Arabidopsis thaliana: one gene and its partners. The protein of the gene in region 1 interacts with the protein of each later gene in a pairwise test. Each region holds a gene or a part of one and is shown on either strand. Other genes may lie near its edges.

The links.
Region 2: the proteins of KNAT5 (region 1) and BLH2 interact in a two-hybrid assay, tested with the Arabidopsis thaliana proteins (one large-scale study listed by BioGRID).
Region 3: the proteins of KNAT5 (region 1) and OFP4 interact in a two-hybrid assay, tested with the Arabidopsis thaliana proteins (one large-scale study listed by BioGRID).

Annotation. Positions count from the first base shown.
Region 1 is NC_003075.7:15,491,998-15,496,918, forward strand, and holds KNAT5 (homeobox protein knotted-1-like 5), read left to right. Parts: upstream 1-1,991; 5' UTR 1,992-2,129; coding exon 2,130-2,672; intron 2,673-3,056; coding exon 3,057-3,177; intron 3,178-3,269; coding exon 3,270-3,469; intron 3,470-3,558; coding exon 3,559-3,690; intron 3,691-3,771; coding exon 3,772-3,911; coding exon of another isoform or gene 3,912-3,915; exon of another isoform or gene 3,916-3,996; coding exon 3,997-4,012; 3' UTR 4,013-4,384; downstream 4,385-4,921. Other genes in the region: AT4G32030 (uncharacterized protein), read left to right, coding at 356-412, 508-570, 650-718, 822-1,010; AT4G32050 (neurochondrin family protein), read left to right, coding at 4,623-4,818.
Region 2 is NC_003075.7:17,367,275-17,374,533, forward strand, and holds BLH2 (BEL1-like homeodomain 2), read left to right. Parts: upstream 1-1,640; 5' UTR 1,641-1,898; intron 1,899-1,904; exon of another isoform or gene 1,905-2,081; 5' UTR 2,082-2,148; coding exon 2,149-3,327; intron 3,328-4,173; coding exon 4,174-4,565; intron 4,566-5,036; coding exon 5,037-5,097; coding exon of another isoform or gene 5,098-5,121; exon of another isoform or gene 5,122-5,553; coding exon of another isoform or gene 5,554-5,613; exon of another isoform or gene 5,614-5,861; coding exon 5,862-6,449; 3' UTR 6,450-6,737; downstream 6,738-7,259. UniProt on the Arabidopsis thaliana protein: Transcription factor that establishes leaf shape by repressing growth in specific subdomains of the leaf. Negatively regulates knox homeobox gene KNAT1/BP expression.
Region 3 is NC_003070.9:2,124,154-2,127,730, forward strand, and holds OFP4 (ovate family protein 4), read right to left. Parts: upstream 1,750-3,577; 5' UTR 1,649-1,749; coding exon 701-1,648; 3' UTR 523-700; downstream 1-522. Other genes in the region: AT1G06923 (transcription repressor OFP17-like protein), read left to right, coding at 2,649-2,847, 2,932-3,245; AT1G06925 (endonuclease/glycosyl hydrolase), read right to left, coding at 3,551-3,577.

The sequences.
Region 1 (4,921 bases):
GTTGAAAGTTGAAACGAGTAAAATGATCTTGTCGGAGAGATTGGTATCACGTGATCTTTAAAAGAGTGATGACGATAGATGACAATGCCCATGACACGGAATAATCATGATGTGGCATCAAATCCTCACTATAAAAATTCTTTCCCAATTATATATTTGAGATTTTTTAATTTTATGCTCTATTTGGTTTCTTCGATATATTTTTCTTACTTGTTTGAAATTTCTGTTGTGGGAAAAGAAACTTTTTACCGGTATGTTAAAATAAGATCTTGGGTATTGATTATAAAAGTAAAACAGTTGTCGTTATCTTCAGCCATTTAATAGTTGACTAATCAAATGCGTTTTTGTTTTGCAGGTTTTTCCCACAAACGAAATCACCAGTTGTTTCTCCAAGAGATTGAAGAAGAGGAAGGTAAATATAAAGTCTCCTTTTTGAATTTCAAGTACACACTCCAAAATTCAAATTTTATTGAGCTGATGGTTTTTTATTCTTTTAATATTTGGCAGTCATCTTTTGAGCTTAAAAATGAAGAGAACTTGAAGTTGAAGGAGAGACTTGACCTTGAAAAGGTAGATTTTCGTTGCTATTCTCTGTTTTATTATCATGGTTTTCATTGTATTCTTAAAAAAACCCAATATTTTTCCACAGGAGATTGCAAGTCTCCGAGCAACATTCGATGAACAAAACCTTAGGAACCAAAAGCTGAAGAGGATTAAGGTAACATTTAGATTCTCCCTAACCATCTTTACAGTAATCAGATATTCCAGATCCCTTCTCTCTATTTGCTGGTCTCATCGACTCTTGTGTTTTCTTGTTTCAGCTTGACTTAAACTCAGGCCGTGTCACAAACAAGAAACCTGTTGATTTGATTCGTAAATCACAACTCGAGCGGCTACAGGGATCAAAATCTTGCAAAACCAGTGACTCGCAAAATCAGGGGAGTTTCTTCGTCCTCCCTGATCTCAACATGGCGCCATCCGAGGAAGAGATATTGTACGGAACTAGCTAAAAACTGGCCTATATGAAGATTTGCGATCGAATTATAGTGAAGGGAAGAAGGGAGCTAGAGATGTCAACTAAGAAAAGTGAATGTAATAAGTGGTGTAATGAAACTCTCCCGTCACATTCTGGTTTTCCGTTTCCTTCTTTTTTTGGGGTAAAATGCTCAATTACTTCTTGATTTTTTCTTAGGAAGAGGGTGAAAATTAGGTTTTTACTTTTTACTCCCTCCCTCCCTCCCTCTCTGTTTTCTTTAATTTGATGTGTTAGAAGAAAAAATTTGTTTTAAATAGATGGTGTTATCAATTTTTAATGCAAAATTAACTACTTTTTTTTTTCTTTCTTTCTCTTTGTACCGATTTAAAAGCTTTTGTTGGAAATTGTAAAGAGGAAAAAGTAGGACAACTAATAGACTTTTTATGTTCCAAACATTTTCTTCTTCACTATTCTCCATACATTATTATATTAAAACCCTAGTTTCCGCTCAACTAATCCAAGACAAGAAGATCTATCAATCTCTTTGGACATTCATTTTTCTACTATTTAATTTGAATTTTTATAATATAAACTTGGGAGGTGTAATGCTATTGGTGGGTTGTCGGCGTGTTCATGGAAAAAGATTCGTTTTTAAATGCCCAATAAATTTGAGAAAAAATTGCCAACTTGTTTATGAGCTTATTTTCTTTTTCATGGATCCCAAGTCTTTTGTGTATAGAGATTAAAAAAAAATGACATTCCTTCATGTAAAAAAGAAAAAAATATCTGGGTTTTAAAAATATCTACAATGAGTTTAATGGTAAATATACTTATCATAATTTGGAGAATAAAGACCTAAAGAAGAAAATTACACTCTAGAACAGAAGTTTTGTAAGCAAATCATTGCTCACAAAACTTGTGAATTACAGAATTACAGGCTCTTGTAGGTTGAGTTATTTTATGCTTCATTTTGGTTACAGGCTTTATGTTGACATTAAAACAAAGAGATTGAAGTAGAGTCCAAAAAAAAAAAAAATATATATAAATATAAAATTCAAGATTAATTAAAAAATATTGGTCTTCAGAGAGATAAATAACTAGGGGAAAGAGAAAACAGTCTTCTCTTCTCCGATCCCAAAAACGCAGGAAAACAATGTCGTTTAACAGCTCCCACCTCCTTCCTCCACAAGAAGACCTTCCTCTCCGACACTTCACCGATCAATCACAGCAACCTCCGCCGCAGCGTCACTTCTCTGAAACACCTTCGCTTGTCACCGCCAGTTTCCTCAACCTCCCTACCACCCTTACCACTGCGGATTCCGATCTCGCTCCTCCGCACCGCAACGGAGACAATTCCGTTGCTGATACAAACCCACGCTGGCTCTCCTTTCATTCGGAGATGCAAAATACTGGAGAAGTACGTTCTGAAGTTATCGACGGAGTCAACGCCGATGGTGAAACGATACTCGGCGTTGTAGGAGGTGAAGATTGGCGGAGTGCTAGCTATAAGGCGGCGATTTTAAGACATCCGATGTACGAGCAGCTTCTTGCGGCTCACGTGGCTTGCCTTAGGGTTGCGACTCCCGTTGACCAGATTCCGAGGATCGATGCTCAGCTCAGTCAGTTGCATACCGTCGCCGCGAAATACTCCACTCTTGGTGTGGTTGTTGACAACAAGGAACTTGATCATTTCATGGTAAGTTTCACTTTCTAATTTTGCAAAATTTTAATGTTTTGAACTGTGAACGATTCAGCCATTTATTTCTCTTTGATTATCTGAGTATAGCAAATTCACATTTTTGTGTGGCTCATTGTTCCCGCTTCTCGAGTCTTGCAATCGATATGATCTTTGCTTCTACTTTTTTGGTTAGCTTGTAATTCGAATTATGAACTTTGTCTGACTCAAATAAGTTATATTTGTTGCATAAAGCTTCTTCTTTGATGACTAATAGTTTGTCTGATTCTTGCTGAAAAGGACTTTGCATGTCCAAGAGAAAGAAAGCATAATCTATTTTTTGTAACGTTCTGTTTGTATGTCTTATGGATTGGAATCTTACCTTTGATTATTATGTTGATGCAGTCACATTATGTTGTCTTGTTATGTTCATTTAAAGAACAACTCCAACACCACGTTTGTGTCCATGCAATGGAAGCCATTACGGCTTGTTGGGAGATTGAACAATCACTGCAATCCCTAACTGGTAACGTCCCAAATCATTTTTTTTTTTTGTTATTGTCTTCTTGCTTTATGTGTGTCTTGGTTTTATCGGTTTTTCTTTGTTCTGGTTTGTAGGAGTTTCTCCAAGTGAAAGTAATGGTAAGACAATGTCGGATGATGAAGATGATAATCAAGTAGAGAGCGAGGTGAACATGTTTGATGGAAGTTTGGACGGTTCAGATTGCTTGATGGGGTTTGGTCCTCTTGTTCCAACCGAGAGAGAGAGATCTTTGATGGAACGTGTGAAGAAAGAACTGAAGCATGAGCTTAAACAGGTAATTGCTTGATCAAGCTGCAATGGTACATCAAACTATACAAAACACATTGTTAAATCATGTTGCTCGGTTTCTTTTTTCCCCTGTAGGGTTTCAAAGAGAAGATTGTGGACATAAGAGAAGAGATAATGAGGAAGAGAAGGGCGGGAAAGTTGCCAGGAGATACGACTTCTGTACTCAAAGAATGGTGGCGAACTCACTCGAAATGGCCATACCCAACTGTAAACACCTTGGCCGAGAAGTTTTGTTACCACATTGTCAAAAGCAAGGTTTTAATTCGTGATTTGGTTTTGGAATTGCAGGAGGAAGATAAGGCAAAACTGGTTCAAGAAACCGGTTTGCAGTTGAAACAGATCAACAATTGGTTCATCAACCAGAGGAAAAGAAACTGGAACAGCAACTCTTCCACGTCATCTACTCTCACCAAGAACAAACGTAAACGGTAAAACAAGATCCGTTCTCTTTTTCAAATTGCGCAATTTCATTAAACCAACCCGGTCAAGATCTTCTTTTGTAACCAAACTCAGGACCGGGAAGTCGTAGGTGACATAGCGGCTAACTAGAGGATGGTTCTTTGCCATGTGAATTCTTGGGAACCGTATATGAAAGAAACGAATCCGGTTCTATGCTCGTACAGAGTGTGTTATTTGTATAGTGGATACCGGTTAGCCTATGAAACCGGATTCTGGAGTCCAAATTGTTGTTTGTAACGACTTAGTAGTTTTTGGAAGTGATCTGTTTCGTTGGTTTGCGTCTTGTAACGAACGCTTAAGCAAGTGTGGGTTTTTTCTTGTAAAGTGTCAATATGTTCGTTTGTAATGAATGTATCAAGCAATATTTATCATAATTAAACTAGCTTGAAATGTAGTATTACGATGTTGTTGTGTTCGTCTGATTTCTCTCACCGGTTGATGCATGGTTACGTTCGGCTCGGTTTTTATATGGTTCAATTTTTAATATATCGATAATTTTAAATGATTTCACTTGTATTATTAACAAAGCCCATTGGTATTTGGCCCAAAATCTGAATGCCGACTTAATGACTTGTTTCTTCTTCCTTCAGCTTCTCCAACGAACGGCTTTTGTTTTAGTTTTTTTTGCTTACCTTTCTCTCGACTTGGTCTACTTTTGTTACTCTTTGAGTTGGGTGATTATGGCAGCAGCACCACAGGAGGAACGATCTCCGTCGCTTGACGATTGCCTTAAGCTATTGAAAGGGGAGAGAGACGAGCAGAGGCTCGCCGGTCTACTTCTCGTCACCAAATTCTGTAAGAACGATGACATCGTTTCTCTCAACAAGGTCTACGAAGCCGTTGGTACTCACTTTCTCGACCGTCTTTTCCGTACTGGTAATCAAAACCCCGAATTATTGATCTTTGTCTCAGTAAATACTAATATCAATTTTGGGGTTTCTACAAAGTGTGAATTTTTTAGTTGAGATACTAAAGTTTG
Region 2 (7,259 bases), 1.9 Mb from region 1:
GTGTTTTTATTTTATTTTATTTTAATTACTACTCCGACATGAATTAACTGTGTAAAAATAAAAAATAAAAAATAACAGAATTTGCGTGCTGATATGATTTTGACATGAAAGATTCCCACATGGTGTCACACAATAAACAAAATTCAATGTTATTATATAAGTGGAGTTACACTTGTGCTTTCGACATTTCCATTAATTATTTATCCCAATATGGACTTATGCCTACGGTGCGATATCTAATACTTTCTCTAACCATTTGTGGGATATGCACCAAAACTCGAATTTGGGAATGCTATTTTTTTAGCAAGACAGACGTGATACGAAATATGTCACCGCTTTAAGAAAGAAATTCCGATATCTATATATTAACCATGGAATTAAAAATATAGTCTAGCCATACCAAAAAAAGAAACTCAAGTACTCGAACTCAAAGCTGTTGAACCAAAAAAACGGTTATGTGTCGATTTCATCGGTTTTCTAGATTATCCCCCACATAAACCTAATTAACATTTTGAGCACTTGACTTCTGAACCGTCCTCCTACCTTTCACACGTTCCAAACCACAACTCCCGCTCGTGCGAACTCTCATCTTTTATTGTTTATTTGATACACCAAACAAAAAAAATGCACACCGAATTTCATTACATTATCCTTCAAGCCATTCATAGTTACATCGTACTCGACCCTCAAGTAGTAAAATTTAATTTATGATCACAAGATCGATGGCCGGAAAAAATAGTTTGAATATATACTTTTTCTAGCCTTTGCATTATTTTGCATGAGTATTATTACTTCGGCCATGCTAATTGTTAGAAAATACAGCTTACATTTTATTTAACACTGTATTGGTATATATGTATGTGGGATATATTATGTTATCATTAGAAAATGCTAATTAATATGTAACTAATTTGTCATTTCCCTGAAAAGTCGATTGGAAGGGATAATTAACTTGTGGTTAGAACTTAAAATCAATTGATTATATGAGATTAATTTGTTGTGGTGTTGTGATTACGACCAGTCGTACGGAGTTTTAGAGAGTCATATTCTCGCATAAAGTAAGTAAATTCAATTTTGATGTAGTAGAAAAAAAAAATTAACAAACGTTAAGAAGATTTTTTTTTTTTTTATGAAGTTTTTTATTTACGAAGATCTTTTAGGGTATTCCAGGTTAAGATAATAGAGATATGCTACATTTAAAATAAATGTGTAGACTTTAAATTATGCTGATGAGGACTGGGGAGCTATGCACCAACAATGACCAGTTACGTAAATATGGACTTAATTGACCCTATCTGCGAGTCAGTCCAGTGAAATCAGAAGAATGACAGATGAGGGTATTATGGGAAATATAAATATGGCAGTATTTTAAATATTATATATGTTTTTTTTTTTTGTCACGATAGTATTACTAAAATTTATGGTGGTGGTTCGTATCATTGAGATATGACCTTGTACTCACTTAAAAAAAAAAAAAAAAAATTACGAAAATAAACATCTTCAAATTGTTAATGGCAGAAGACATTTACGTGAAAAAAAGACGCATCTTAGAAATTTCTATCCTTCAATCCTACTATTAACCTTTTCAACTAAATCTTTCATAAGAAACCATAGTTTAAAAAATCACCGATTTTTTTTTTGCACGAGCAGCTTTATATATATATAGGAAACCAACTAATAAAGAAGATTGGTGGGCTAAAAAGGGTGACGAAGAAGAAAGAAGAGTGACCTCTCTCTCGCATATTTTTCTTTCCGATATATATATCTTTTATAATATTTGTGAATTCTGAATAAACTCTTAGTAAGAAAGAAAAGGAGAGTCCAGAAAAAGAAAGCGAGAAAGAGAGAGAGAAAACGATACCTAAGCTCAATTATCTTCTCTGCAACAAACTCCAAAGGTATTATCTTCTTATGCTCTCTCTTTGCATACATACATATATATAGATACCTACATATATATATCTCTATGTCTTTGTTCATCATCAGTTATATAGGTGATGTAGATAGATGGACAAAAAAACAGCGTAAGACCTAGTTTCTGACTTACATATGTTTTAAATTCTTTGTCTGAATCATTACAGGATCCGAGAGAGAGAGCTCTGGAACGATATTAACATATATCATGAAGAAAAAGATTGAAGTATTGATATGGGAATAACTAAAACTTCTCCTAATACTACAATTCTCTTGAAGACTTTTCACAATAATTCTATGTCCCAAGATTATCATCATCATCATCATCATAATCAACACCAAGGAGGTATCTTCAACTTCTCTAATGGATTCGACCGATCAGATTCTCCCAATTTAACAACTCAGCAGAAGCAAGAGCATCAAAGGGTAGAGATGGACGAGGAATCTTCAGTCGCCGGAGGTAGGATTCCGGTCTACGAATCAGCCGGTATGTTATCCGAAATGTTTAATTTCCCCGGAAGCAGCGGTGGAGGAAGAGATCTCGACCTCGGCCAATCTTTCCGGTCAAATAGGCAGTTGCTTGAGGAGCAACATCAGAATATTCCGGCTATGAATGCTACGGATTCAGCCACCGCCACCGCAGCCGCCATGCAGTTATTCTTGATGAATCCACCGCCACCGCAACAACCACCGTCTCCGTCATCCACAACTTCCCCAAGGAGCCACCACAATTCTTCAACTCTTCACATGTTACTTCCAAGTCCATCCACCAACACAACTCACCATCAGAACTACACTAATCATATGTCTATGCATCAGCTTCCACATCAGCATCACCAGCAGATATCGACGTGGCAGTCTTCTCCCGATCATCATCATCATCATCACAACAGCCAAACGGAGATTGGGACCGTCCACGTGGAAAACAGCGGAGGACACGGAGGACAAGGCTTGTCCTTATCTCTCTCATCGTCTTTAGAGGCTGCAGCAAAAGCGGAAGAGTATAGAAACATTTACTACGGAGCCAATTCTTCTAACGCATCACCTCATCATCAATACAATCAATTCAAGACTCTTCTTGCTAATTCTTCTCAACATCACCATCAAGTATTAAACCAATTCCGATCATCTCCGGCTGCTTCTTCCTCTTCCATGGCAGCGGTCAATATCTTAAGAAACTCGAGGTACACAACGGCCGCGCAAGAGTTGTTGGAAGAGTTTTGTAGTGTTGGAAGAGGATTTTTGAAGAAGAACAAACTTGGGAACAGCTCAAACCCTAATACTTGCGGTGGTGATGGTGGTGGCAGCTCTCCTTCGTCGGCCGGAGCAAACAAGGAGCATCCTCCTTTATCGGCGTCTGATCGGATTGAGCATCAAAGAAGGAAAGTGAAACTACTCACCATGCTTGAAGAGGTATGTTCATATTAACTTTTAATATTGATTTTGACTTTGTCTATACTCTACAGTGATATTAGTTCATACATTTTACGTAAAATTGTTTTCGTTACATTTCGATAAGATTCATAAATTGATCCAAGAGTTATGACAAAGAAACAAGAAACCTGATATGACTGAATTGGTCTTTTGTTTTCTCGATTAACTACTTATTTTTGATTATTTTGGTAGAGTTTGATTGCGCAATCCTACCATCATTTGTTTAAAATTAAAATTAATTTAATCATTTTGCTCGTGTGACGGTCGTATTAGAAAGTATATTGAATATTTTGATGCTTAGCGTTTGGTGGAATCGATTAATCAAAGAAAATGCATTAAATAATTACGATTAATTATGTAATTGGCGTTTCCTTCTCCATATAAGCTACTCTCCAGTTACGTCCTAAAGCTAACCCTTGACGTTACTTATTTGTTTACCCATAATTGAATTATCTACTTTTTAGTTGACCTTGCTTTTTTCTCACTAGAAATAAATATTTTAGTTTATGCTCGAGGATACGATAAAATGTGCTGTTGGTAGGATTGCGCAAACATTGAAGTATATTCTCTGGTCAATAATTTGTCTATATAATATCTTATTTTCTTATTTTGTCTCGTTTAAAGGTAACTAATTAATCTCATTAGTTTATTTATTAGATGATGCTCGTACACAAGCATAGGTTCCCGTGATAAAATCTACACTAAATAATAATCACGTGAACATATAACACAACACACACGAGTTAACAATAACATTAATTAAAAGAAAAAGGCAAATATTGATATTTATGGATTGTATAATGTATAGTTTTGTTTCGTTGGCAGGTGGACCGACGGTACAACCATTACTGCGAGCAAATGCAGATGGTTGTGAACTCTTTCGACATAGTAATGGGCCACGGTGCGGCATTACCGTACACCGCATTGGCTCAAAAAGCTATGTCAAGACATTTTAGATGCCTTAAAGATGCAGTTGCGGCTCAGCTTAAGCAGAGTTGCGAACTTCTTGGGGACAAAGATGCAGCGGGAATCTCTTCTTCCGGGTTAACAAAAGGTGAAACTCCGCGTTTGCGTTTGCTAGAGCAAAGTTTGCGTCAGAACCGTGCGTTTCATCAAATGGGTATGATGGAACAAGAAGCTTGGCGGCCACAACGCGGTTTGCCTGAACGCTCCGTCAATATACTTAGAGCTTGGCTCTTCGAACATTTCCTTCACCCGTAAGTCAATTTTTTCTTTCTTTCTCGTTATTTATTAATTATTATAGAGAAACTGAATTTTGAAAAAAGCTGAGAAAAAGTATTTATTTTCTCGTTATTTCACCTCTACTTTCTTTAGTACTATGTCTCTAGAATTTTGCTATTTTATTGTTAACGAGAGTGAACGAAAAAATGGAAATAAAGCAAAAGAGTAGTGTTTTTGTACTATTTTCACCTCTCTGACAAATTGCTTTAAGAGTAAAACAAAACAAAAAAAGCCAAGTAAAAAAAAAAAAACTGGATCGATGATATGTAATCATCAACTTTTCTTTTGTCTGTTAGATTCTCACGCCCTTGTTAGGAAAAAGTCTGTACTTTTTCTTGCGTCTACTTGATTGTATTGTATATAGTGAAAAGATAAAGAAAATAAATTACATTGAGTTTATTAGGGCAAAGATAGAGAGTGATGTCATTTTCTGGTCTCTTTCTCAGGTATCCAAGTGATGCAGATAAACACCTATTGGCTCGACAGACTGGTTTATCCAGAAATCAGGTCAGTCTACATATATACATATAGCCAACGATATAATGAAATTTAAAATCTCCATGAATCAAATACATATGCCTCTACTTCACCAAGTTGTGTTAGCTGAGTATACTCTTAATCAGACAATCAAATGACCACAGTCTGGATTACGAATTCTTAACCGCGTGTTTTAAAGATTTGTTTTAAACCCATCATTCTATGTTTATAAATAAACTCCACAATAGTACACAGTTATATATATAACTACAATATTAATTTATCACCCAAACCCATTTCATAATTTTCATAAACATATACATGCTTGTTATAAACATCAAATAATAAATACTAGTAGTTACTCAAAACGAATTTGACTAAGCCAAAATTATTTGACACCATGTACGAGTACACTAACTAGTAGCCTGAGATGACTCTATTGCATGGTTTTTGTTTCTTATCTTTGTTTGGTTTGTGATATGACAGAGGAACACCATGTGTTTTGCCTTCCACTCACCATTAGCTTTTCTTGGGATTCGTCTTTAAATTATTATAGCATATTTATATATACAAAAACATAGGAGAGAGAGAAAGAGATCGACATTAAAGACGCAAAAGGGTCCATTTTTCCTCAAGTACATCAAAGTTTGCAGCTTTCAATTGTCCCAAAGAAACCCTCAATTTCTTGTATCCCTACATTAAATAACCAAATGACAAATAAACAAAAAGAGCCCTCAATTTTATTTCGATATTATAATGATTCAACTAGTGAAAATTTTGTCTCTTTTATTCAGGTATCAAATTGGTTCATAAATGCTAGGGTTCGTTTATGGAAACCAATGGTGGAAGAAATGTACCAACAAGAATCAAAAGAAAGAGAAAGAGAAGAGGAATTAGAAGAGAACGAAGAAGATCAAGAAACAAAAAACAGCAACGACGACAAGAGCACAAAATCCAACAACAATGAAAGCAACTTCACTGCCGTTCGGACCACTTCACAAACTCCAACGACAACCGCACCAGACGCATCAGACGCAGACGCAGCAGTAGCGACAGGCCACCGTCTAAGATCCAACATTAATGCTTACGAAAACGACGCTTCATCACTTCTACTCCCTTCCTCTTATTCCAACGCCGCCGCTCCTGCCGCTGTTTCTGACGACTTGAATTCTCGTTACGGTGGCTCAGACGCGTTTTCCGCCGTTGCCACGTGTCAACAAAGTGTAGGTGGGTTCGATGATGCTGACATGGATGGTGTTAACGTTATAAGGTTTGGGACAAACCCTACTGGTGACGTGTCTCTCACGCTTGGTTTACGCCACGCTGGAAACATGCCTGACAAAGACGCTTCTTTCTGCGTTAGAGAGTTTGGGGGTTTTTAGTTTGCTTTTGTCACTCCATTTAATTAATTAATTATAGTTTCCATTCTTACTTATTTTAATTGAAAATCTATTTTTGTCTCTTAAAAGTCAAAACAATACATTAGTCTAGCCCTCCTCTGCTTTTTTTTTTCTATCTCGTGAAGAGAAGAAAACGATACGTAAATCCCTTCGAAAACTAATGTACGTTGTACGACTTATTGTTTTCATATATCTGTATTCTTGGTTATTTAATTTCTCGAGATTTCTTTAATTGTTCAAAATGAAAACCTTCACTTTATAACATAACAGTCCCAAATCGTTCGAAATCACTGATTTACAATCATATAGATTCACTTACCATGAATCCATGATACAAGCTTGAAGAGGTGACCCAATTGTTTGGGCCATCAATAAGGAAAGTGATAGGCCCAAAATTCTTTTATTGGGCTTTAGCGTATCTGTTTTTGTATAGATATCACACAAGTTTCTATAGATGTGTTCAGTGTTCATGCAGTTTTTTATAAATTTCTCACCGACATTTCTAGATATGACTAAAATGAATTTATGAACATGCGGCTTAAACCTTATTTTATCAGATCACTTAGTTAACATCTAGAGCAGGTGAAAACAAGAAGAAAAACAAATGTTGTTTTTGAGGTGCATAATGAAAATTGATGAGAAGAAGATTGAGGAGAAGTAGAAGAAACCGACTTTTGTTATGTTGTTAGTTGGATGAAGGAGTGAAAACCAATGGCTCTTAAGAAATATATCATTTTATTATATTTCTCTTAATACATAAAACAAGCAAACAATCTTTCTTTGAATAAAAAA
Region 3 (3,577 bases), on another chromosome or scaffold:
TCACGACAACAAAGAGCCTTTAGGTTCTTAAAACTCTCTCTCTGCTTTTCCTCTTTAACCATATACTCTTCTGTGTCAGTGTTAGTTTCTCTCTCTAGCGATTTATGTTATTCAGGCTCCATTTTCATGTTTCCTGCTTCATTACTCATTAGGACTGGAACCCATTTCTACTCCGTACTTGATGGGTTTCTGACTTGTCTCCGTGTGGCTTCTTGTCACTACACTTTTGGCCTTTTCTTGACTCTTTTTTTTTTCTTTTGACATTTTCGCTCTTGTTACATAAGTCGTTACCATGACTAAACTCCATCAATCCTAATCTAATCCAAGGTTTATCACTACATGAAACTAATATAATAAAACTCTTTGGATTTGTATATTGTTTCTGAAAATATCACATAAACATTTAGCAGCACATACTGTTTCACATTTTAATTCTAAAATTGAATTATTATCATCCATGAGGCATGTATTGAATAAGTATGTTTTAGTTACTGATTTTTAAATTACTGAATAAGTATGTTCTATTACCTTCACAAACCATAACCAGAGACGAAAAGGAAGCGAGTGATTTATATGTCTTTATCACGTTATTCAGACAACACAAAAACTGGTCTTGCAAAGAAAATCTCCACGGCTACATCAAACTCTTTAAAAGAACTACAATTAACCAGAGATTTAAAGCTTTTGATCATAGTTCATTCTACTTCGATGCAAATGTAGAGTTTATGACTTCAAGCCAGACTTGAACGAAAACCTTGATAATGAGATCATGATACTCCTTGGGATTCAAGGTAAGGTAACATACTAGAAGATCCTCCATGTCGTTAGAGGTTCTGATGTTGTTCTCTGCTATCATCTCCACCATTGATTCTCTGAAATCCTTGCTCGGATCGATAGAACTCTTGATTACTGCAAAACTGTCAAGAATTTGTTTGTTCTGTGATCTTGATTTGCTTCTACGAGGCGAGACTTGAATTCTAGGAGATCTCGCTCTGAGCTTTATCCTTGGAGATTTAGCTGATGATCTTCTTCCACTAGAAACTAATGTTTTCTGATGTTTCTTCTTGGTTCGACATGCATCTTCCTCTTCATCTTCTTTCTCTTTACTGACCTTCACAGAGAGATGATGAGGTATATGTGTTTCCTTGGTTCGGTTACTTGCACGACAGGCTTTCTCCGTTGAATCAAACTTCGTGATCTCTTTGAAAGTTTTCTTCTTGAAATCTCTATTATTCATGTCGATGATAATATCATCTTCAGAAGAAATGACTTTCAAGTTGGAAGAGGCAGAGAGAGAATCATGGCTTTGATGAAATGTTTTGTTAAAACCTGCAGATACAATAGAAGAGGAAGGAGGAGAAGGCTTGTAAACAGTCTTTCTTTTGCTCTGTATGTTGTGAAGAGAGTTTCTTGGTGAAATTTGAAGGATCCTAGATTCAAAGGATGTGCGTGAGCGTGACCTATTGAAGAAGTAAGAAGTTGAAGAGTAAGGAAGAGACTTTGACTCAGAGGAAGGTTTTCTCTTCTTGGTAGTGTTTATGGAGTAAAGAGGAAGAGAATGCTTTTTTCTAGGTTTTGTCATGTTCTTGAGCTTGTGGAACCATTCACTTGGGCTCATAACTGACAATCTTAACTTATAGTTCCTCATCTCTAATTTCAAAAAATAAGTGATCTTCTCAGATAAAAGAGAGAAAAAAAATATGTATAGTTTGCAGAGTTTCTATGTGACAAATAAAAGAGAGAAGAAAGTGTAGAATTGGGATGTAAAAGGGACAAGACGGAACAAAATTGGGATCCACTTCATAGAATGTCTTTGTTTGTACCAAACTCATTCCGGCTTCTCTCCCTAACCGAATAACCAAGTTAAACCAAATCAAATCAAATTTAAATAAAATATCCTATCTAAACCGGTGTAATCGAAATAATTGAGGTGTACGTAGATGAGATTGAGAATTAAAAGGTTTTATTAGACTTGAAAATTGAGCAACAAAGTGTCCTCAAAAATTGTCTGTCGGTAGTAGGTCGATTGGTGGGTATCAATTAGACTAAATAGAATATTTCTGGTAAATTGCTTCCAAAACATAATTCGGCGAACGTGACAAAGGGTTTCAACAAAAGAGGTTAAACAAGATTTCAGGTTCATGTCCAATCTCTTAATATAGCCATAGTCATAGTATATAACAATAATGGTGTAGAAGAAACTGTAGAGAATAATAAAAGACATATTTGCATAAAACTCGGCGTGTCGTCTCCTTTTCACCAATTAGCTTGTGGTCTCCCTACCTCACACGTGTGTGTTTGACCAAAGCTTTTTTTTTTTGGGTCAACGACTCATATTTGAAGCTAGGGTTCGACAAACGAGCGGGGTCAGTCACAACCCTAACGACTACTACTGATCCCAGTAAACACCGATATATTTACCCACTCCTCCTACTCATAATGTGACAATATCTAGGTCAGATTATAGCTTAAAATTAAATTTGCAAAAAACATTCAAATTAAGGCTCAAGTTCATGGGACTCCACCATCACGACTTCGTGTCAAAGGAAAAGACGTGAAACCCACGTAACTCGAACCACCCTCCCAAACCTACACATTATACCACAACAACAACAACAAAGAATAAATCAGCTTCGGAAGGATCGAGAATGAGACTGAAGTCAAGTTTGATTAGCTTGAAATCAAAGCTTTCAAAATCATGCAACAGATTCATCTCCTTCTTCCATGCTCGTTTTCGCAATGTCAATACCACACAATCTTCATCATCTTCTTTGTTGTCTCGTCTCTGTTTTCTCAATACTAATAAGGAGCAGAGGATGAGCCAGATCAGACCCAGAAATTCCCCGTGTAACAACAATTTCTTTTGTAACTATTGTCGATTTTATAGAGTACCTTTGATCTAAATTTTATTCTACAAATATGCCACTGCAGCTAGTCTGATCGATGATTCCAAGCTTCTGCATTCAAGAAAGATGTTTCCTTTGGCTATGACGCAAAGGAACAAGAAAGCGAGGACGAGTCAAAGACATATGTTAAAGGAAGATGGTGTGAAAGAGGCTTGCAGAAGATTCGAGAACTATATGATCCATATGTTCGTTGAAGATGGGAAAATAGATGACTTGATGGACATGGAAGAGCTTCTCTATTATTGGAAGAATCTTAATAGTCCAATCTTCATTGATCTTGTGACTAGATTCTATGGAGAGCTCTGCACTGACCTGTTTCCAAGCGACCATGACGATTAAAGATCATTGAAATGGGTTTTATAATATATGCATGATAACACAGAGCATTGGATACAGAGTAGCTTTCTCTGTGTTCTGTTTTTTTTTTGTAAGTTGTACAACTTCAAGTGACAGGAACTTGATTTTACTACATTAAATCACGGAAATAAAAGATAATAAGAAAAGATTATTAAAGGATGGTACATTTCACATTTCTATTTACCAAGATTTCCGGTAAACCCCAGAATTCAAAAGATGAGAAATCTCAAGGTTTGGTTGCTTCTTCCCTCACCAATGGTAGTAGGCATTATTTCTCCGGAAAATAATCAAGGGGGAGCCTCGTCGTCTTCATA